Linked DNA regions of Arabidopsis thaliana. The protein of the gene in region 1 interacts with the protein of each later gene in a pairwise test. Each region holds a gene or a part of one and is shown in the gene's direction. Other genes may lie near its edges.

What was found. Proteins that work in one complex are often made in the same cells at the same time.
Region 2: the proteins of CCH (region 1) and HMA5 interact in a two-hybrid assay, tested with the Arabidopsis thaliana proteins (one study listed by BioGRID).

Annotation. Positions count from the first base shown.
Region 1 is NC_003074.8:20,862,754-20,873,737, reverse strand, and holds CCH (copper chaperone), read left to right. Parts: upstream 1-9,115; 5' UTR 9,116-9,335; coding exon 9,336-9,344; exon of another isoform or gene 9,345-9,665; intron 9,666-9,807; coding exon 9,808-9,883; intron 9,884-9,997; coding exon 9,998-10,278; 3' UTR 10,279-10,599; downstream 10,600-10,984. Other genes in the region: AT3G56270 (WEB family protein (DUF827)), read right to left, coding at 1,884-3,023, 3,318-3,518; AT3G56260 (uncharacterized protein), read left to right, coding at 4,946-5,539; AT3G56250 (uncharacterized protein), read right to left, coding at 5,582-5,656, 5,922-6,041, 6,457-6,517, 6,797-6,938, 7,297-7,654. UniProt on the Arabidopsis thaliana protein: Involved in copper homeostasis. Can complement the yeast mutants atx1 and sod1.
Region 2 is NC_003070.9:23,521,334-23,532,317, forward strand, and holds HMA5 (heavy metal atpase 5), read left to right. Parts: upstream 1-6,236; 5' UTR 6,237-6,321; coding exon 6,322-6,624; intron 6,625-6,723; coding exon 6,724-8,127; intron 8,128-8,215; coding exon 8,216-8,470; intron 8,471-8,599; coding exon 8,600-8,722; intron 8,723-8,792; coding exon 8,793-9,272; intron 9,273-9,353; coding exon 9,354-9,776; 3' UTR 9,777-9,893; downstream 9,894-10,984. Other genes in the region: AT1G63430 (Leucine-rich repeat protein kinase family protein), read left to right, coding at 1,563-1,644, 1,984-2,122, 2,259-2,330, 2,416-2,559, 2,659-2,799, 2,897-3,013, 3,094-3,158, 3,241-3,498 and 5 more. UniProt on the Arabidopsis thaliana protein: Involved in copper import into the cell. May play a role in copper detoxification in roots.

The DNA of each region.
Region 1 (10,984 bases):
AACTCATAAATTGTTCTCATGGAAACGGCTAGCTAGATAGCCATAGGGTATCTATAGTGGCCATTCATTTTTAGCCACAAATGTTTTTTTGGCCATTGATAAATAATGTAGCTTTTTGCAGATTTCTAGTGAAATAGTTGCTAACCTACTTTACAATATAAAACATATCACATTCATACATAAAAGGAAACTACTAATTCCATCAAACCTTTCTCCATTACAAACACTTATAATAAATTAGGGGGGAAAATTGTGGAAAAGTATTAGTAACCGAAGCTTCATTTAATAATACATAGCCAGAAAAAATGACTTGCCTTTTGAGACACCTTTCGAAGTAATGTGGGAATTGGGATGAACGAAACATAGGTGGAGAATATTCTAACACATTGATAATGATTCTATATGCATGCTAAGTTAGCCCAAATATATATATTGATACAAGACTGGACTACCATCCCCACTTAGGTAAGGAGAGTCCACTTATCAAAACTTTATTCCGATTTAACTATAATCCGCATGTGAATTTATATGAATATTCCATCTTTGAACCGAAAATCCCATCCACGTCTAGAGAGATCTCGTTATCATCCCTTCTCCATATGGTTAAGCCTGAAACATGTCTGCACGTGTGCCCTCAATAATAAACTTCTTACATAAAATAGTTTCAATATATATACCTTTATAGAATCATATATCAAGAGTATCATGCCTAAAAGGTATCAAAGAATGAAATTAAGGATGGTTGAATACCGGTACCATGCTCAACATGACTAGATCCGTCGAGGCAAATGCGGTGGTCCGGTCGCCATGGGATGGACTCATCGACGGATCTTTCTAAAGATCGATAGCGGCTAACTTATTGACTATTGAACAAGGAGATTTTCCCTCTTTTTTTTTTGTTGGTCTGGATCTTTGTGTACTATGCATCCTTTCCGTTTTATAAGCAAAGCAGAGGGTATTATATTATATTTTACAACATGAAAAATGATCAAAAAGCTACAACATTTAATGTTTAGGAGAAACAAAATTAATAAATAAAGATAAAGACGTTGTCTTTGGATTATTGACACGAAACGAGCGCAAAGCAACCTAATTTAAAAAAGTGCAAACGTACCGTCAGATAGTTGACACTTGGAAAAGAGTAGCCCACGTGTTGGGAGTGGCACATTTTAGCCTGAGACAATGATTTTGCTAACCCACGCCACTCTTACTTTTCAACTTTATTTTTTAATTATTTATTTATTTAGTTCCTTTTCCTTCTTTTGGTTTCGTTTGGTCCCACGCTCTAAGCCAATACGAGGATTCCAGACGAAATCTTTGTTGTGAAGACTAAAACACGTGGCATTAAGTTATTGGAGATATCTAGATTGTCTTAAAAGCCTTGACCACGTCATCATTCTGTATCTGACCACTCCAAACTTATACAGTATAAAGTACAAACTGGTCAAATCGTAAAATGTGTTTTTATCTCCGTAGTTCAACCTGAATGTTTCAGTTTCTATTTTGAGAATCTAGAAACATTATAAAGACCAACGTTATTAAAAAATAAACAGTTGAGGACCTACGGTATTGATTATGGATCACCTAATTAGCTAATCTAACACTTAAAATGCATTAGTTAAGAAAGTGCCCACCACCTAAATCATATGATCAATGCCCTTCACTAACTCCCATAATTAATTATGATTACTAGAAGCTTTAGTTTTTACTATAATGTTTTTCTTTTTGTCACATTTGAGTCAAAACAACACATCTCACTCTAATCATCTGTGTTTTGCTTTTGATGGAAGCAACAACACCCATCAATGATCAAACCAAGAATAAAAAAAAACAGGAATCGAAATGTGCAAAACATGTTTTCAAAGGTTGGGTATTTTTTTAGCTTACTCTGTTTTTCTAATGGAAGCTTGATGTGTTTGTATGAACCTAAACTTTCTCCTCGGCGTGACCAACTGTTTCTCATCTTTTCGGTTAAGAGCATTACCCATTGAGACGTTACGTTTCAGCATTGGCTCAGGGAGATCGATCAGTGGCTCGTGCTGATTGATATGGCTCAAGAAAGAGCGCTGAGGAAAGCTTTCTCTTTTCATCGAGCGTTTTGCTCCAACAGCTTTCTGGTCTTTCCATGACTCTATGTTCCACTGCCGAAATGCCTCTTCTGCTTCAAGTTGCTTCACACTAGCGATTTCTACCCGGTTTAACGCAACTTCCAAGGCTTGTTTACTTTGTTTAACTTCTTCGTTAGCTTCCTCCAGCTTCCTCAAGATCTCTATTCTTGAGACATTGGTGGATAATTCTTTGTTCATCTGTGCTTTAAGTGTTAATGGAAAACATGGTGTCTTAGGGAAGCAGAGAGCGTCTTGGTTTCTTCTGCTGGATAATATGGTCATTTCAGCAAGCGCAAGTGCTTCCGCTGCTCTTGCTGCCTCTTCCATTTTTCTTGCAGCAACCAATCTCATATCTGCAGTTCTCGGGCAGGTTTTGCTCTGTTTATGGAAAGCTGTATCATAGGTTTCAACTACCATCTTAATCTGTTCACATTGTGGATTCACTGGTAAATTCTCGGTATTGAATCTCTCTACTTGATCAGGACCTGCTGGTTTAAACTTCAAACTGTTAAGTTCCTCCGCTAGAGACGCTACTCCAAGGACATCTTTCTCTTCCTTCGTTTTCATATTCAGAGATTCAGCATAAGAGTGGATCAACGCAAGATCATCCATGGTTTTACAAAGATTCATACCAGCTTGCTTCATTTCCATGGTCATCAGATCCGGAGACTTCAGGGGATTACGATGGCAGTGCTCATCGACCATCTCTTTGGAGTGTGAACGCAAATGTTGAGGGGTCTCCTTGCATCTCAGTGCTTGCTGCTGAAGCTGCCACTTCAAATCTTCAAAAATCCTTTTGGTTGATCCAAGAGCTTCAAGAAGATCCAGAGTCTCTAACTCTTTCATAATCAGATCCTTCTCAAGCTCCACTGTCTGTTCTTCCATTCTCTTTATGTCAAATTCTCCCACACAGTCCTGAAGAATGACAAACCAAAAAAACATAAAACAAATCATGCTATATAATACCAAAAAAAAATCTTACATAACATCTTGCTAGTTCCAGAATCAATTGCCGCAAATGCAAACATCAAATTAGCTATCACTTATTACAAAATATCTACTCAGTAACCAAATCGAATCAGCTATCAGTTATTCAGTTTGTTAGCATACTTAACAGTTAGAGAACATACATTTCAAACTTTCAGTGACATTAATGCTCAAACTTTAAATGAACAGACTTTGTAAATCGGAAACTAGAAGAGAACTCACGTAATTGTCTTCAAGATTGAAGGGAACCCAGAACCCACGACCACCATATAACTGTGGAGAAATGTCGATTTCAGCTCTCAAGCATCCTCTCCTTGTATTCTCCGGGTTGAAATTCTCGGACCCGGTTCCGGTTCTCACTTCCCGGATTACGGGTGTACCGGGAATCGTCTCCGCCGCAGGGCTCTGTTGCCTCTCCGCCATTTCCGTTAGCTCGAGAACGAATTGGTTTGTACAAGTGAAAGGGAAAGATAATGAAAGAGTGATCTATTTACAGTAATCATAGTTACTGATCAGAAGCAAACAAGATTGAGAGCTTCTCTATGATTGTGTTTTTCTCGGTAATGAAAGTCACTCACGAGAGAGACTCGAAGAACAAGAATGCAGGCTTTGATGATGCTACTACTAATGGCTGTGGCGACGTGGCTTCTATTGATTGGTTATCTGATTAATTAATAAATGAAAATTTTGGGCCGTTGATTAAGGAAGCGATATTGGGCCGTTGGTACGAAGTTCAAGTTCGTCTATATTGGGCTTTTTTGTGAAGGAAATTCTTACGTATGTGTTGTTTGTTTCTGTTCAAATACGAATATCCGAAAATTGTTATAATTTTCCCGTGCGATATTAGTGTATAGTAAATGTATGAGTGAAATAAATAGGTGGAGCTTTCCCTTATAGTTTTCTAACCAATTTGTGTGGCCATCACATTAAAGCAAAATCCGAGTAGGAGAAAACGGACCACGTACGAATACGATTGGAAACGACCATTAAATTATACGACCTCCCTCACTCAACCGTCCAAATTCATCACCGTCGTCTTTCGATCTCTCACGTTTCTATTTATTTCTCCGCATACGTTTCTTCCAACTAATTAGAACCGACAAATATATATATCTTTTCTAATTACTATTGTTGGGAGTTACCAGTTAGCACTTGACATTGGTACGTATTCAGATGGTTTGGTCTGACACTCTGAGTAGTTCCCTATTATATCCTATCTAAATTATCATTTCATTAAATGTAAACCATTATATCTTTTGGATGAACATGCCCCAAACTTTTGGTCAGTAGTTTCAAATTACGACAAACAAGGTTAGTAGTCTTGATATATATTAAAACGTGTGGATTTGTTGGTCAATAATTATTTCCTTAATTATAAGAACACCAAATAAAAAGGTTTATAGAGTGGAATCCCACAAAAGGTAACATATTAAATACTCTAAGCAATGCTTACTACAGTAACTGTTTACCAATAATGTGATCCTCACCTCACGACTCTCTTATTATTAATGAAAACGCATTAAGTAATGCATACAGTAAGATAGCCACCTTTCATTTATTATCTAACCAATTTTTTCCCCTATGTATGATCTTCCATATACTTGTAATATGCTCATCCATATGAATTTTTCCTAAAGAAAATAAAAAAGCAGAATAAATATCCACGATTATATACAACCGTGCAAAGAAGATTCTTTTGTTTCATCGGCAAACTTGTTTTACTCGCAATACATATTACTCTTTGTCACCTCTAAAGAAGCTTCGAAACTAGCACTTGTTGTTTCAATTTTCGTACATCAATTCTCATCAAAAGCCGACTCAAACATAAACCGAGAGTTTATAAAAAACAGATGTCAGAAAGACTAGAAGATGACTTTGCAATCGATGAAGAGAGATCCTCCTACTATGGCGGAGCCTCCATACCATTCATATGGGAGTCAAGGCCAGGAACACCCAAAAACCACCTCTGCTCCGATTCCTCTCTTCCTCTGCCTCTCACACCGCCGCCCTCATACTACTCCTCCGGGATTTTGTCGACACCAAGGACGCAAAGCAAGGTGAGATCAAAACTAAGTAAGTTTCTGTCCTTCTCCATGTTCAGTGATCTCAGGAGGAGCAATCACGGTAGCAAGAAGACGGCAAGCTCATCGTTTTCTTGGTCTTCTACGTCATCTTCATCTTCCTTTTCCTCCTCGCCACCACATTCTTTGAAAAAACGTATGAGTCACGACAAAAAATCGCCACTTCTGTACGCTAACTACGAAGAGGATGAGCTTAGGTCTTCACCAACCTCGACTCTGTGTTGCTCCAACGGGGGAAGACTTGGCTGTAGTTCTTCAATGGGGAGTGTGACAAGAGCTCTGTTCTCTGGGTCAATGGAGGGTATGAAGAGACATGAGACCACAGGTAAAGCTCTAATCATCAGCGACATGAATAAAGCTTGATTATGTGAATAAAGCTTGGTTTTTTCTATGAGCTGCTTCGCCTCATTGAACAGAGAGTGTTATAGTTATTGGTGTGTGAATGTAAGTATATAGTTTGTCTCTCAGTCGTGGCCTTACCTGTGTATTGTGGACAGGCTTTTTCGTCAATTCATGTCTAAGTAGAACCAAGAACGTTCTCCCACTGAAACGATGTTAAATATTATAAACCGATAGATATTTTGTATACACAGATTTGACGTGTCATGTGTACTAAGTGACCAGTGAAACATTTCCTGTGAGAATACTCCTTAGCTATACAGTGATTACGAACGGGTTATGGTGTCTCTATGATATCCTTAAGATTGTTATCTCTTCTTACTTAGTCTGAGTCGCTATTAGATACCTCTTCTACTGGCAGCTCAAATGCATCAATCTCTGCAAAGTAAGCTTTCTGCTTCTCGATATAATCCTGACAAGCTGCACTAACCGGATCCTCTTTCTCTTGCTTTACCGTCCGCTGTCTCTGTAATGTAACCACAAATGCAGAATTAGATTTGGAGCAAACTTATATGTTACCAATAGTCATAAGGCTCTATAACTGAACAATGGGAGTTCCAAATTGCATATCTCATTAAACAGTAATCCCACTGTATCTCGTGACAATATTCTAAATCCAACTTTTGAAAAAAAGAAGAATATACATGAAACTGAAGGACTAGGCAATTCACTTCAAACTATGTGTAGCACTGGTTTCAGACATGTGGCAGAAGAACGTTGTGAACAATCAATGTTGAAACATACAATGCACTGATATACACTTTGCTAGAGCCATAAAACCAATAGATCAAAGTATTGACTACTTTTTCGCAGAAAGATGATAACAACATAGAATTATTACAGTTCTGATAAGTAAACAGCCAGAGCTTTCCTGAATTCACCTTTTTTGGAGCCACTTTCAAGGTCTTCTTTTTGTTTTCACTAGCTTGACGTGTTTTCTTCCTGTGATACAAATTTCAAAGAAAATTAACTAACAACAACATGGTTGATTATAAACAGCCCACAAAATGCTAAACAAATTTGATGAAAGTTAACTGTAACACTAACAAAAGTTATCTCATCTACTATTTCTTACTGACAAGATTCTTTCAAAAGAACAGGCATCAATAAATTAGTCAGCATGAACTACATTCTATCCTGATTCCATATGTACATTAGCTACTATTAGCCATGCCAAATCAATTTTCCCATAGCAAATATATGATCGAATGGGTTTCATACCCAGAGCTTGATGACAAGTCGAGACGAATGCGAGCTGCTGCACTAGTAGAGGAAGATGCGTCTTTACTTCTTTTTTGTCCAGAGGCCTTCCTTCTTACCGTGTAAACAGACCAAGGCTCAGTAAAATCCTTGTCACTAACACCTAAGCATAAGACAATTATTTAACATCAGTATAAGATAGACACAGAAACCAATTTTGCAAAAATACCAATTGAAAATCAACAGAGACTGAGAACTAGCTTGATAGCAATTTTCAATCCACTCAATATTGGTGCCGTTTTGGAAATTTGAAGTGACCCAATTAGTGCTCTTCCACTATAACAGAAAACATGATAAATTCAAGCATCAATCTAAACCTTCTTCCAATAATTCCTAAAAATACCCAAAACCCGAAAACTAAAACCCTAGAGTTGCGAACAATTTCAATTCAGATGAAATTCCTTAAAATTTGATACAGTATAACAAAACTGGAACAAAATCATCGCAGCTAAATCAATTACCCATATCAGATCGCGATGTTTGGGGACGAGAAGGAGCTGAGGCCGGAGAAGCCAGATCAGCAGACATACGGCGAGTTACGGGTCTAACGTCCGTGGTAATAGGCCGAGAAGCGATTTCGGGAGCAGTCGCCGAAGTATTAACATCTTTGGGTTTCTCCTTGAGCGTAGTTTGTTCTACTAATCTCTTTAGTGAAGAAGTGAGACTCGGATTCGCGAATTTTACAGAAGAAGATGACTGTTGAGAAGATCTGGAGACGGTGTTAGTACAATCCGCGAGCGGTTTCCTCTGTATTCTTCCTCCGACGGAGCGAGGAGCTTCCATTTGTTTACCCGGCGTCGGAATCTTGGGATGATTCATCTGAGGTTTTGTGGGAGAAGATTTCTACTCTCTGTTGGCGGGAATGTGAAAAGCACGAAAAGAAGAAGAGTTCTGAAGAAGGCTCGAGAGAGCTTGAGACGATAATAATTGAGGATTTAAGAGAAGCCCAAATTGGGAAAGTATCGTTGGGCCCATATTTTTTATTTTATCAACTGGGCCCATGATTTTGTTTTGACAGCACTGGGCCCATATCATAATCTATTCTACTACCTTTTTAGAACTTGATGAGGTGTAGGGGATCAACAAAATTATTGCTTTTCTTTTTGTAAGGATAATATTAAATATATTGTATAGAGGGGAACTGTTTTTTAGAAGTGGGAGCAAAGTATTAGAGCATTATGTATCAAAGACTTGCGAGTTGTTGACCAATTAATAAAGGAATTGCAACTTTAGGTGATTGTGATGTGAGGCTGAAATCTTTGTAACCACCAAGTAGACAAAGTATGATTCAGCATTGTATGATATATACGTAATTTCAATAACGATTGGAATATAAAGATTCTTGCATTTCGAGTTATGTGATGAGATCTTTAGAGTTGTGTTGAAACACGTAAATTGCGATCGTCATTACACGAGTTCCTCGAATAGGTTCGGTGAGAGGGACAGAGAATGAGTGCCATATTTCAAAACTACACGCATTATTGATAGATATATGCTGATGTGTTTCTTTGATGGACGTCGCATAGGAAAGCCACAATGGAAATATTGATAATGTTAACTACAAAAAAAAGTTTGGGAATCCATATAAGAAACCATATTATACTTGAGTCTCTCATTCCTATGCTCACTCGAGTAGGATTCCAAAAAACGGTACACATCGATTTTTAGCCACTTTTTAAACAACAAAATATCAAAGAATATATTGGTCTCATGACCGATTCTGAAAATTCAGCTACTTACTGTTTAGAATTATAAAATTCAATATGAATAGTGATAGATAAGATATTCGCAATTTTGAATGATAACAATGTAAAACCGCAAATTGTGAAACTTTTGTCCATCATTCAAAAAATTTAGTTTTTGGCAAAACAATCCGTGAAAAGGACAACATTATTTATGTATCAATACACCCCACTACCTAGTCACCTAAAGATAAAATGAGTTAGTTCGGCTTACCATTCAAACTCCACATGTATAATATGATATTTTTATAGATTGACATATAATATTTGTGTTTTATTGTTCATGATATTCTTTAGAAAGCTTGAAAATAAAATATTAGGATAAAAATAGTTTTCTCTAAGTTCATAGTCAAATACTACTATCTAATAAAAGTAAACTTTGATTGACCCCATATATATAAAAATTAGGTAATTGGTACTGCAACAAAACATGTGTAGTACAAGGAGACCTCATAGAATTCTTTGTACTTGTACTTTCTGTTAGTGGATTTTAAAGTTGGTAAGCTTTTTTCCACATCAGGTATAACTAACCTTCCTAAACCTTTATACTTTATTATTGGAAATATGGTAAATGCACTAATTCATAATGTTCTCGTTTCCTTTACGCTAACTTCTCCGAATCTTTGCTTTTGCGTTACTATAAATATTCAGAAGACACCATTTCTTCTCATTCAACAAACAAGCATCTCATTCTCTGATTCGGTCCATCGATCTCAAAGGCTCAAAGCTTAATCGTTTCCTTTCTTCTTATTCTAGCCATGGCTCAGGTAATTTTGTGACTTTGATATTCTTCTTCTTTTTTTCTCCATTTCTTGGCCATGAAACGATGGAATAATGTTTTTGAGAGACATTGATCTGGAAGCAGGAATGTCTTTTTGTGTCCATCTCCAAAAAAGATGCTAGCAATTGTCTATATATATCGGTTATGAGAGTCCGATTAATCAGTTTTTATGATAATAAATATTTTGGAATGAATTAATATCAAATTTCAAGAGGGAAGAAAAGAGATTGATTGGTCTAGGTCTAGGTTCTATCTGTAAGTACTATAATGTCCGATTAGCACCACTTTGAAATATTCATCAAAAAAGGTAAATATTATTAAGCTAGAGCACAAAAGATAACAGTTAATAATTGTGATAAAATTAGCTGTTGATATATTTGGACCGAATTGGTCCTATGTATATGGATATGGTTCTTACATTTTCGGATTAAATTGTCTAATTAATGCAGACCGTTGTCCTCAAAGTTGGTATGTCATGCCAAGGCTGCGTTGGTGCCGTCAATAGAGTTTTAGGCAAAATGGAAGGTATTTCTCTCTAATCTTTTTTTCATGTCTTTCAAATACTTTCTACTAATCATTGTTTCCCTTTATTTTAAGCCTTATAATTTATTGACTCTATAATTTATTATATAATCTCAGGGGTTGAGTCATTTGACATTGATATCAAGGAGCAAAAGGTGACAGTGAAAGGTAATGTTGAGCCTGAAGCAGTTTTCCAAACAGTTTCAAAGACCGGAAAGAAGACTTCTTACTGGCCAGTGGAGGCTGAAGCTGAGCCAAAAGCCGAGGCTGATCCTAAGGTCGAAACCGTGACTGAGACTAAAACCGAGGCTGAGACTAAGACTGAGGCTAAGGTTGATGCAAAAGCTGATGTTGAACCAAAAGCCGCAGAAGCCGAGACTAAGCCATCACAAGTTTAAGTATACTAACGATGAAAAGGAAGGCTAATCTACCTTTACAATGCTTCTTTATCTTTTGCTTTTGTGTGTTGTTGTAAGAAATGCTTCCTCTAAATACCTAATATCTTTATGTATGTATACCTTTTTCAACTATTGATAACAAGATGTTGGACCCATGTTGGTCCGACTTTCTTTTATAAGAAGTTTTAAGTGTTTTACTAGTTAATTAAATACTGCGAGAGTCTTAACTTTGACTTATTATAAAACTCAATCCATTCAGACATCTGTCTGAAAATAGGCAAAAACAGAATGAACCATTTTCAAGAGAAAATTGTAAGATGAGCCGGCCTGAAGAACTTGGAAGCCCCAAGCAAAAGTTTTTCTGGTCTATTTACATATTTTTGTAAGAAGTTGGACATTAGGATGGGATTTGAAGTTTGAACTCCCCTTGGTATTTATATAAGCCCAAAACCAAATAGACTAATAACTTATTTTGTTATATATGTGGCCCTAATAGTACATAATATTCATGTGGATTCAAATTTGAGTTATCATCTTACCTGAATTACTATATGGGTGTGATTAGTATACACTAATCTAGCTAATCCATTCAGAAAACAATTCGTGCTAAGATTTGGATTGCACATTCTTACAAAATTAATGAGTTATTAATTAATATTTTTCCCAAAAATTAAGTCAATTAATGTTGAAGCTATAGGAGCGACGT
Region 2 (10,984 bases), on another chromosome or scaffold:
GTAGACACTAGACACCGTGACCGTACCACGAAAAATAAATTCTCTTTATAAATTAAACGCACTATTATTTCAATGATTAGCAACAATATTATACTCTTAATTAGGAATCTTCCAACGAAATTTATTCATTTCTACCATTATTCTAATGAGATGTTCTCTTCCATTTTACGTTCGAATAATAGTCTGTCCTATTATTAATTTTTTGAATATCTAAAAATTCACTACTAAAAAATTTACCTCTTTCAAAAACTAGATCCACATTAAATTAGTGAAGAAAAATCTACGGCACACTATTTCCATCAGTAAAAATAAGGAAAGTTTTTCAAAAAAAAATATATTAATATTTTAATCAAAACAAATATATTAATTATTATTTAATAGTTGAACTAATAATATGATGACATCTGTACAAATTTGATAAGAATAGTTTCTCAAAGTTTCTCCTCCGAAAAATTTAACTCTCCTTCTCTCCTACTTTTTCTCACCTCTCTCATATTTTTTTTTTTTGCTCTTACTACACAAATACCACATTAGTATCTATAATTAATAAAGTTAATAAAAATCAGGTTCTAAAATAATTTTACTCTTACATAATAACGATGATATTGGAACATTACACTTGATGCACAATTTTTTTTGTATAAAATTTACATTTTATTTTAAAAGTAAAATAGCGATAATATATATTTGAATAACAATACAACGATTATCTTTTCAACAGATCATTTTTTTAACACTAACAAATCATTTTTTAATTTACTGTATATTACAATTAAAATCTCATGCAAAAATACAGTTGTACATATGCCCCTAGATTCCTGATATAGAAAGATTTGGATATTTCCTTATTATTAATTTGGTGTTAAGCTTTGCCACATGATTGATGTATATATATTATTAATATAGATAAATATATTTCTCACTTATATAAATGAATAGAAAATCGATCTAAAAACTAAACAAACATTCATGTAAAAAAAACATCCATAATTCAGAATATTTAAAAACAACTCAGAGTCACATAAAGTTGCCCAAAGTAAAAGAAATAAAAAGATAAAGAGGATGAGAACATTCTTCCTTTCTGTGATATTTTTTATTTAAATTGTATATTTTCATAGCTATTTTTATTCTATAAAAAAATTAAAGCTCATTTTTCCCCTCCAACAAGGAAAAACAAAAACCTGTCTTTGAATCCAAGTCTCTCTCTCTCTCTCTTTCTCGCCACACTTCATCATCTCTGCTACTTTTTTTTTGTTCTCGTCTCAGTGAGTTTTCTTTGATAGGTTTATTGCTAAATCAATCAAATAATCTTGTCCAGTTTCACTTCTCTTTTACCATTTCCTTGTTCCATTCTTCAGCTTCTCTCTCTCTCGCTCTTTACTTTACTAAACTTGGTCTCTTCTTGAGCTTATACATCTCATTTCTGCAGAGAGTACTTGTCAAAGAAAGTTGTCGTCTTTCTCCAGATTCTTCTTGAGCTTATACTGTTGATCATCCGTGAAAGAATCTAGGTTCCGCTTCTTTTTTAATGAGCCGAATTTGAAGGAATCTTTCAACAGACGATGAGATCGAAGTATTTTTGTTCGTTAGCTCTTGTTCTTGGTCTCTTCTTCGTTTCTTGTGATGGGTTTGCCTCTAATGAAGGTAAAACTATTTGTTAATCTCTTTGTTTTGTGTTACTTTTCTTAAACCCAGATCTCAGATTTCAATTGTTTTCTCGCTTGTGTTAGGTTTACTAAGAAAATGCTAGATAAAGCTCATACCTTTTTAGATTCTTCAGTCTCCATGAATCTCTCTGTGAACAACTTTCTAACTTAACTTGAACAGAGTTGGGATTAGTGTAGAATCTTAATCAACCTGAAAAAGTTTTATCTTTTTAATGGATAAGATCAGAAGAATCTGTGAAGTTAAAGCTTTTAATTCAAGGTCTGATCATATAAATCATCTAATAGATTTATGGATCTTCTGCTCTGTTTTTGTTAGTTCAAGCACTTAGAAGATTCAAGGAAGCTATCTATGAGGACCCTTTGCTAGTTATGTCTAATTGGAATGACCCCAATTCAGATCCTTGTGATTGGACCGGCATTTATTGCTCTCCATCTAAAGATCATGTTATCAAGATGTAAGAATCTTTCATCTTTTCTTCTTTCTCTTGCGTTTACTTATTCTTGTATAGTATCTGCAGAATCAGTTGTTTATGAGTGGTTTAGGATGAAGTTGGCTTGAGCTTATAGCTTGTGGATCTTCTTTTCGTGCAGAAATATATCCGCTTCATCGATAAAAGGGTTTCTTGCGCCGGAATTGGGTCAAATAACGTACCTGCAGGAACTGTACGGTTTCATCTCTTTCACAAATATGTAGTTTGATGCATTGAGTTTGATGCATCTCATTAACATCATTAAAATGCTTCTGTAGAATCCTACATGGGAACATTCTAATAGGGACAATACCTAAGGAGATAGGAAACTTAAAGAATCTCAAAATCTTGGACTTGGGAAACAATCATCTTATGGGACCGATCCCTGCAGAGATCGGGAGTTTGTCCGGCATCATGATAATGTAATAAAGATTCATCTTTTTCGCAGTCAAAGTGATGCTTTCATATCTTATTAACAGATGAGTTGTTGAGACGACAGTTTTTCTTTTCACATTTTACAGCAACCTTCAGTCCAATGGTTTGACTGGAAAGTTGCCTGCAGAGCTCGGTAACTTGAAGTACCTTAGAGAACTTCATATTGACAGGAATAGGCTTCAAGGAAGTCTTCTTGTTGCTGGAGCATCGGGCTATCAGTCGAAAGTGTAAGTTTAATAGCTCAAGAAGCCAAAAATGAAACACTATGTGACTTCTGTCTATGATGGCAATGTTAATCGGGTTTTGTTTATTCAATTTATTTAGGTATTCTTCAAATTCAAGTGCAAACATCGCTGGTTTGTGCAAATCTTTAAAAGTAGCTGACTTTTCATACAACTTTTTCGTGGGAAATATTCCAAAATGTTTAGAAAACCTTCCAAGGTATTCTATCATCTATGCTGTCTTTTGGAACTCTCTAAGTCTTCAATTTAGTCTTAGAAATGCTCTTTTGTGGTCACTAGGACGAGCTTTCAAGGGAACTGCATGCAAAACAAGGATCTTAAGCATAGATCTTCTTCCCAATGCGGTGTGTAAGATAGAATAATTTTCACTTTATCGACATACATGTTCAATTAGTCTTGGTTTTCTGAATGTTATCCCTGTTGCAGCTAATGCACAACTGGTCAAAACTCATGGAAGCCCGAGCGCTGCTCCTAAGCACCAATCAGCTCAAATGGTGGCTAAGCACCATAGAGCATCAAAACCTAAATGGCTTCTAGCTCTTGAGATAGTCACAGGGTCAATGGTTGGTTTGCTCCTTCTGGTTGCACTTTTCTCTGCAGTTCACCGCTGGAACAATAGATCAACTCTCATCATTCCTTGGAAGAAATCTTCAAGTGAAAAGGAAAAGTTCACAGTCTACGTAGGTTAGAATCTTTCCTAATTCTTTACCTTCCAATGTAGAATCCATGGAGCAAAGAACTAAAAAAACGTGGCATGTTTTTATTTTAACTACAGATTCTGAAATGCTGAAGGATGTTTCGAGATTAACAAGACAAGAGCTCGAAGTGGCGTGTGAAGACTTTAGCAACATCATTGGTTTATCAGCAGATAGTCAGATCTATAAAGGAACGCTGAAAGGTGGGTCTGAGATTGCGGTGATCTCTCTTTGTGTAAAGGAAGAAGATTGGACTGGATATCTTGAGCTCTATTTCCAGAGAGAGGTAGCTTCCTCTCATGTTATCATCATCACCAAGCCACTTGGATTGAACAATCTTTAAACATATCCTCCTTTTTTCTGAGATTTTAAATCCATCTCCTCACTGTTTCAGGTTGCAGATTTGGCTAGATTAAACCACGAGAACACAGCGAAATTACTTGGATATTGCAAAGAGATCTCACCATTTACAAGAATGCTTGTTTTTGAGTATGCATCAAACGGAACACTATATGAGCACCTTCACTGTAAATAGTCTAACTTACCTCAGAGCTTTGTTGCATCATCCTGTATTGTTTTAGCTAGATAACATTTTTATGTGAAATATTTTGATGCAGACGGGGAAGCGGCGTTAGTATCGTGGGCAAGACGGATGAAGATTGTTATAGGCATCGCACGTGGTCTCAAGTACCTTCATATGGAACTTGATCCTCCGTTTACAATCTCTGAGCTGAGCTCAAACGCAATTTATCTCACAGAAGATTTTACTCCCAAGGTAAAGTAAAGTGAGACCTGCTTGTTATCTGAGTAATACAATTAGCTAAGCTAAGCTTTATGTTCACATTCTTTCTTTTTTCTGACTTTCTCTGATGCAGCTGGTTGATTTCGAATGCTGGAAGACAATTCTTGCAAGATCAGAAAAGAATTTGAGAAATATTAGTAGCCAGGGTTCGATATGTGTACTCCCAAACGGAATGGAGAGCCGATATCTTGATGTGTCGGGTAATATCTATGCATTCGGGATTCTTTTGCTGGAAATTGTCAGTGGAAGACCTCCTTATTGCAAAGACAAAGGATTCTTAATTGAATGGGTAAGACAAAAACAACTCAGTTTCTCTAAACACTTGAAACTGAGTTACTTCCTCCTCCTCTTTTTTCACCATTTATATCAAAAACTTTGTTACTGTTAGCCTAGTAGGAATGGAGTCGTCTGTTCAGGGAGAGACGAGTTTTCGTCTGGATGTGGAAGTCTTGACCTTGTTCACATGTTTAGTTATATCGCACCTCAAATGTGGTTTTTGTGGCAAAAGTTTTGAATTTGAAACGTATCTATTGCATTTTGCAGGCAAAGGAGTTCCTTGAAGCACCAGAGGCAATGTCGGGATTGGTGGATCCAGAGCTGAAACATTTTAACCAAGAAGATCTTGAGACGGTATGCGAAGTGGCTAGCCAATGCTTGAACCGGGACCCAACCAACAACAACAACAATCACAACAAGCCCTCAGTGCAAGAGCTATGCGAGACATTGGAGAGCAGAATCAGTCTGTCTATTTCAGCGGAGCTTAGATCATCTTCTTTGGCTTGGGCCGAGCTGGCGCTTGACTCGTGATGAGAATGATGAAAGGAAAGAAAACGAGTGTTGAATGATGCAATGCTAACTAACTAAAAACCAAACTCTCAACTCTGTAAATCAATCGACTGATTACAACATTTGATATTGTTTTTTTTTGCTCTGATCTTGACGAGTGTGTCTGTGTTCTTGATTAGTTTTGAGTTTTGGGTGGTTCAAAGTGTTTGTAAATGAAGAGATGAACATAGTTTCTGAAAGATTTTCTCTATTATTTGAAAATCTATGAGAGGTTGAAGAATGTTAATGTAGTGTGTTTGGATCTAACCTTTAATCTTATATTATATAGAGCATTGTATCTATTGTTTGACATGATTAGTCTCATTGGAAAAAGCTTCAAGGCAATCAATTTGAGATCAATATCAGTCTCAGACAAGTGTTTGCGGACCAAGAAGAAGAAGAAACGTAGTTGAAGTTCATAAATCATAATGCATGGATCAACTTAATAAAAGGCCCACATTTAGCCTCGTATCAGTCTAAATGGGCCACACAAGTCAATAGGCCCATTTATCAATGCTTTGACTGTTTTCAATCTTCAATTTTGGTATGACTTCTTCTTACGAGGTTGAGTGCCATAAAAGATTAGACAGACACGTAAAATAGATTCCATTTTACCTTTAGTTAAAACAGATATGGATTAGCCAAGTTTCGTTAGTATATTGTCATATTATTTTATTGAAACAGAAAAAAACAAGTAAAGATTACTTAATCATTCTTAATCAGGCCTGTTCTTAATTATCAAAAAAAAAAAAAGATTACTTCATCATGTCGTAATAATATCACTAATCAATCCTTTTTTTTTTGTCATCACTAATCAATCCATTTTTTTAGCGAACCTTAAAGTCAAAGGTGTTGTTACTTTGGACGATTAAATTTGAATTATATAATTTAAAAGAAAATTGGAATTTAATCTGTTGAGGTTGAAATTCTCTCTTTTTATATATGGCGGTTGAAATTTAAAAGTAAAGTATTGTTTGGTAGGGCCCTATAGTTTAAACATTTACAAATCGGCCCACACATTTTTGTCATTTTAGATGTCGTAAACCGCTTTCCCTCGTCTTCGTTCCAATTTAAAAAGCAAAACAATTTCAAAAAGTCTCATCATTTCCCATAAACCTAAAAGCTTTTTAAAAACTCAAATTCGATACGAGAAGAACAAGATTCGCGCACAAGACGATCGATTACATGGCGACGAAGCTTTTGTCGCTTACATGCATAAGGAAAGAGAGATTCAGCGAGCGTTACCCTCTGGTGCGGAAGCACCTTACCAGGTCTCGCGACGGCGGCGGAGGATCATCGTCGGAGACGGCGGCTTTTGAGATCGATGATCCGATTTCCAGGGCGGTTTTTCAAGTGTTAGGAATGACTTGCTCTGCTTGCGCTGGATCTGTTGAAAAGGCTATCAAGCGTCTCCCTGGAATTCACGATGCTGTCATCGATGCTCTGAATAATCGTGCTCAGATTCTGTTTTACCCTAACTCTGTCGATGTAAGCTATGATATTCTCTCGAATCTCGGTTGAATTGTTTCTGAGAAGACTTGATTTGGGATTTAGGTTTTCTTTTTCTGTGTAATTGTGGATTTATAGGTGGAGACAATTCGTGAGACTATTGAGGATGCTGGATTTGAAGCATCGTTGATCGAAAATGAAGCGAATGAGAGGTCGAGACAAGTTTGTAGAATAAGAATTAATGGTATGACTTGTACTTCGTGTTCTTCAACAATCGAAAGAGTTTTGCAATCGGTTAATGGTGTACAAAGAGCACATGTGGCTTTAGCAATTGAAGAAGCTGAGATTCATTATGATCCTAGACTCTCGAGCTATGATAGACTATTGGAGGAGATAGAAAATGCTGGTTTTGAAGCTGTGCTTATAAGTACAGGCGAGGATGTGAGCAAGATTGATTTGAAGATTGATGGTGAGCTTACTGATGAATCCATGAAGGTTATTGAAAGGTCGCTTGAAGCACTTCCTGGTGTTCAAAGTGTTGAGATCAGCCATGGAACTGATAAGATATCTGTATTGTACAAACCTGATGTGACGGGGCCGAGGAATTTCATTCAGGTGATTGAGTCTACTGTCTTTGGTCATAGTGGTCACATCAAGGCAACAATATTCTCAGAGGGAGGGGTAGGCAGAGAATCTCAAAAGCAAGGGGAGATTAAGCAGTATTATAAGTCGTTTCTCTGGAGTTTGGTTTTTACAGTACCGGTGTTTTTGACAGCCATGGTCTTTATGTATATCCCTGGAATTAAAGATTTGCTCATGTTTAAGGTCATCAATATGCTCACCGTTGGAGAAATCATAAGGTGTGTTTTGGCTACTCCTGTCCAGTTTGTCATTGGTTGGAGATTTTATACTGGCTCTTACAAGGCTTTACGCCGAGGATCGGCTAATATGGATGTTCTGATTGCTCTGGGGACAAATGCAGCTTATTTCTATTCATTATACACAGTGTTGAGAGCTGCAACATCTCCTGATTTCAAGGGAGTAGATTTCTTTGAGACTAGTGCCATGCTCATTTCCTTTATCATACTAGGAAAATATTTGGAGGTTATGGCTAAAGGAAAAACATCTCAAGCGATCGCAAAGCTTATGAACTTGGCACCCGACACTGCGATATTGTTGAGTTTGGACAAGGAAGGGAATGTGACTGGTGAAGAGGAGATTGATGGTCGATTGATACAGAAGAATGACGTGATCAAAATTGTTCCTGGTGCTAAAGTAGCTTCAGATGGTTATGTCATATGGGGACAAAGTCATGTGAATGAAAGTATGATCACTGGAGAGGCTAGGCCAGTGGCAAAGAGAAAGGGTGATACAGTTATAGGAGGCACTTTGAACGAGAATGGTGTTCTGCATGTTAAGGTTACAAGGGTTGGTTCAGAGAGTGCTCTTGCTCAGATTGTTCGACTTGTTGAGTCCGCACAACTGGCCAAAGCTCCAGTACAGAAGTTGGCTGATCGGATTTCCAAGTTCTTTGTTCCTCTTGTGAGTAATCTGACCAGTTGATAAACAAATTATTTAGTCTTTTAGAGGCACAACTATTTTTTAAACTCACTGGATTATAATGTTGAAGGTAATTTTCCTCTCGTTCTCAACTTGGCTTGCCTGGTTCTTAGCTGGGAAACTGCATTGGTACCCTGAATCCTGGATACCTTCTTCGATGGATAGCTTTGAGCTAGCTCTTCAGTTCGGGATCTCTGTCATGGTCATAGCTTGTCCATGTGCTCTTGGGCTGGCTACTCCAACTGCTGTTATGGTTGGTACTGGGGTTGGTGCATCCCAAGGTGTGCTGATAAAGGGTGGCCAAGCCCTAGAAAGAGCACACAAGGTTAGTTTAGTGTGCAGTAACTTGGTCTATGGCTTTGTAAACTTACTATACTGTATATACTTTACTCAGGTTCTCTGGATCATTTCTTTTCTGAAATGGTGAAACCTGACAGTTTCAATGACGGTGTAGGTAAATTGCATTGTCTTTGACAAGACAGGAACTCTCACGATGGGGAAGCCCGTTGTTGTGAAAACAAAGCTCCTGAAAAACATGGTACTTCGAGAGTTCTATGAACTTGTTGCTGCAACTGAGGTAAACTTTTGGAAACTCCTGGCCTACATCAAAAGTAATATTACTATGTTGATGCTATTTTGTTTATCAGGTAAACAGTGAGCATCCGTTAGCAAAGGCCATTGTCGAGTACGCGAAGAAATTCAGAGACGACGAAGAGAACCCTGCCTGGCCAGAAGCCTGTGATTTTGTGTCCATCACTGGAAAGGGAGTGAAAGCCACCGTTAAAGGTAGAGAGATTATGGTGGGGAACAAGAATCTGATGAATGATCATAAAGTTATTATTCCAGATGATGCTGAAGAGTTGCTAGCTGACTCTGAAGATATGGCCCAGACCGGAATTCTTGTCTCCATAAACAGTGAACTGATTGGAGTTTTGTCTGTTTCGGATCCTCTAAAACCGAGTGCTCGAGAAGCCATCTCCATTCTAAAATCCATGAATATCAAAAGCATCATGGTAACTGGTGACAACTGGGGAACAGCAAACTCAATTGCTAGAGAAGTCGGTATCGACTCTGTTATCGCAGAAGCTAAACCTGAGCAAAAAGCAGAGAAAGTCAAGGAATTACAGGTACTTGAGTAAAAGCTCCACACTAAATGTTAAAAAGTTCACATATATGGAATTGATAAAAGCAATGAATATATATTGCAGGCTGCGGGACATGTTGTGGCAATGGTAGGTGACGGAATCAATGACTCACCGGCTCTCGTGGCAGCGGATGTAGGTATGGCGATAGGTGCAGGAACAGACATTGCTATAGAAGCAGCGGATATAGTTCTGATGAAAAGCAACTTAGAAGATGTGATCACAGCCATTGATCTTTCAAGGAAAACGTTCTCAAGAATCCGTCTCAACTACGTATGGGCTCTCGGGTATAACCTCATGGGGATACCGATCGCTGCGGGAGTGCTTTTCCCAGGGACACGTTTCAGGTTGCCTCCATGGATTGCAGGTGCTGCAATGGCTGCTTCTTCTGTTAGTGTTGTGTGTTGCTCTCTCTTGCTTAAGAACTACAAGCGACCTAAGAAGCTTGATCATCTGGAGATTCGGGAGATTCAGGTGGAGCGAGTTTAAAAAATTGAACTAAACCGAGTACCGGTTATTGAATTTGATGAACCAATAAACAAACCGTACAGTAAGTTTCCACTCCTTATCTAGAATTTAAGTCCATGAACTAATAATTGATTTACTTTGCCTCCATATTTTCGTTGCTTCCCTTTTTCCTATTTGGAAAAGGAAAATATTTGCCTTATTATAAGACAAGAGCAGAGAGGACACAAATAAAGATAAGAAGATTAGGATTATACTTTGAAACGTGATAATGAGAACTAGACATGGCAGCAAAAGGACAAAGATAGAGAAGGAGTCTCGAGTAAGTCAAGTAACGTCGGAGACAAGAAGAGATTGCCTGTGAAGTCCGTAGCTAAGTTTCTCGTTGTATCCAAGTTATTGGCAACAATTATCCGCAGTCGATATTTCATTAGATCGTTTCCCTTTAGGTCTTCGCTTCAGCCACATATACTCTTTGCATTCAAATATTTAGATAACCAAAACGGACGCCAGATTTGTAACTTCTTCACGTATTCCTCGACATCAACCAAGAATCTACCGTATTATTTATCTCTTAGTGCGACATGCTCAATCCCGAGTCCGTATTGCCGCAGGATCAATAATGTTCCTTATTACGTTAATGGTTTGATAAGTCTTGGATGTGGACGAGAACAATTTATATGCAACCCTAGCACAAGTAAGTACATACCTTTACCCAAAGTGAAATCAAGAAAAAAGATTATCCAAAACTTTTTCGGGTATGATCCAGTCAATGGTGAGTATAAATTAAGTATTGTGCATGTCGGAAAAAGTGAATGATTACTGGGATGGTCCATCTTTTGAACATCAAGTATTCACATTGGGAGGAGTTGATAGATCATGGAGAATGATTGAATGCAATAACAATCTTCTTCATCGTCCCAAAACTAACGGTGAGTGCATCAATGGGACAATGTTGTTGCAAGGAGAAAAGTAAACATTTCTGCTTCGTTTTCTTCTCGTATACTATATGTCAACTTTGTGTTTTATAGATTCCTTTTTTTTCCGGATTGGTTGCATAACCCCTACTTTGAATTATAAATTTAAGTTGACCAAAAAAGGCCAGCTAGATAGATCTTGTGTTATTATGGATATATTCACTCGCATCCAAAGTCAAAGTGAATATTCCACAACCATATATAAGAGAAGTTGTTTTCCAAAATTTTAACTTGGAGGCACGTTAATTTAATTCG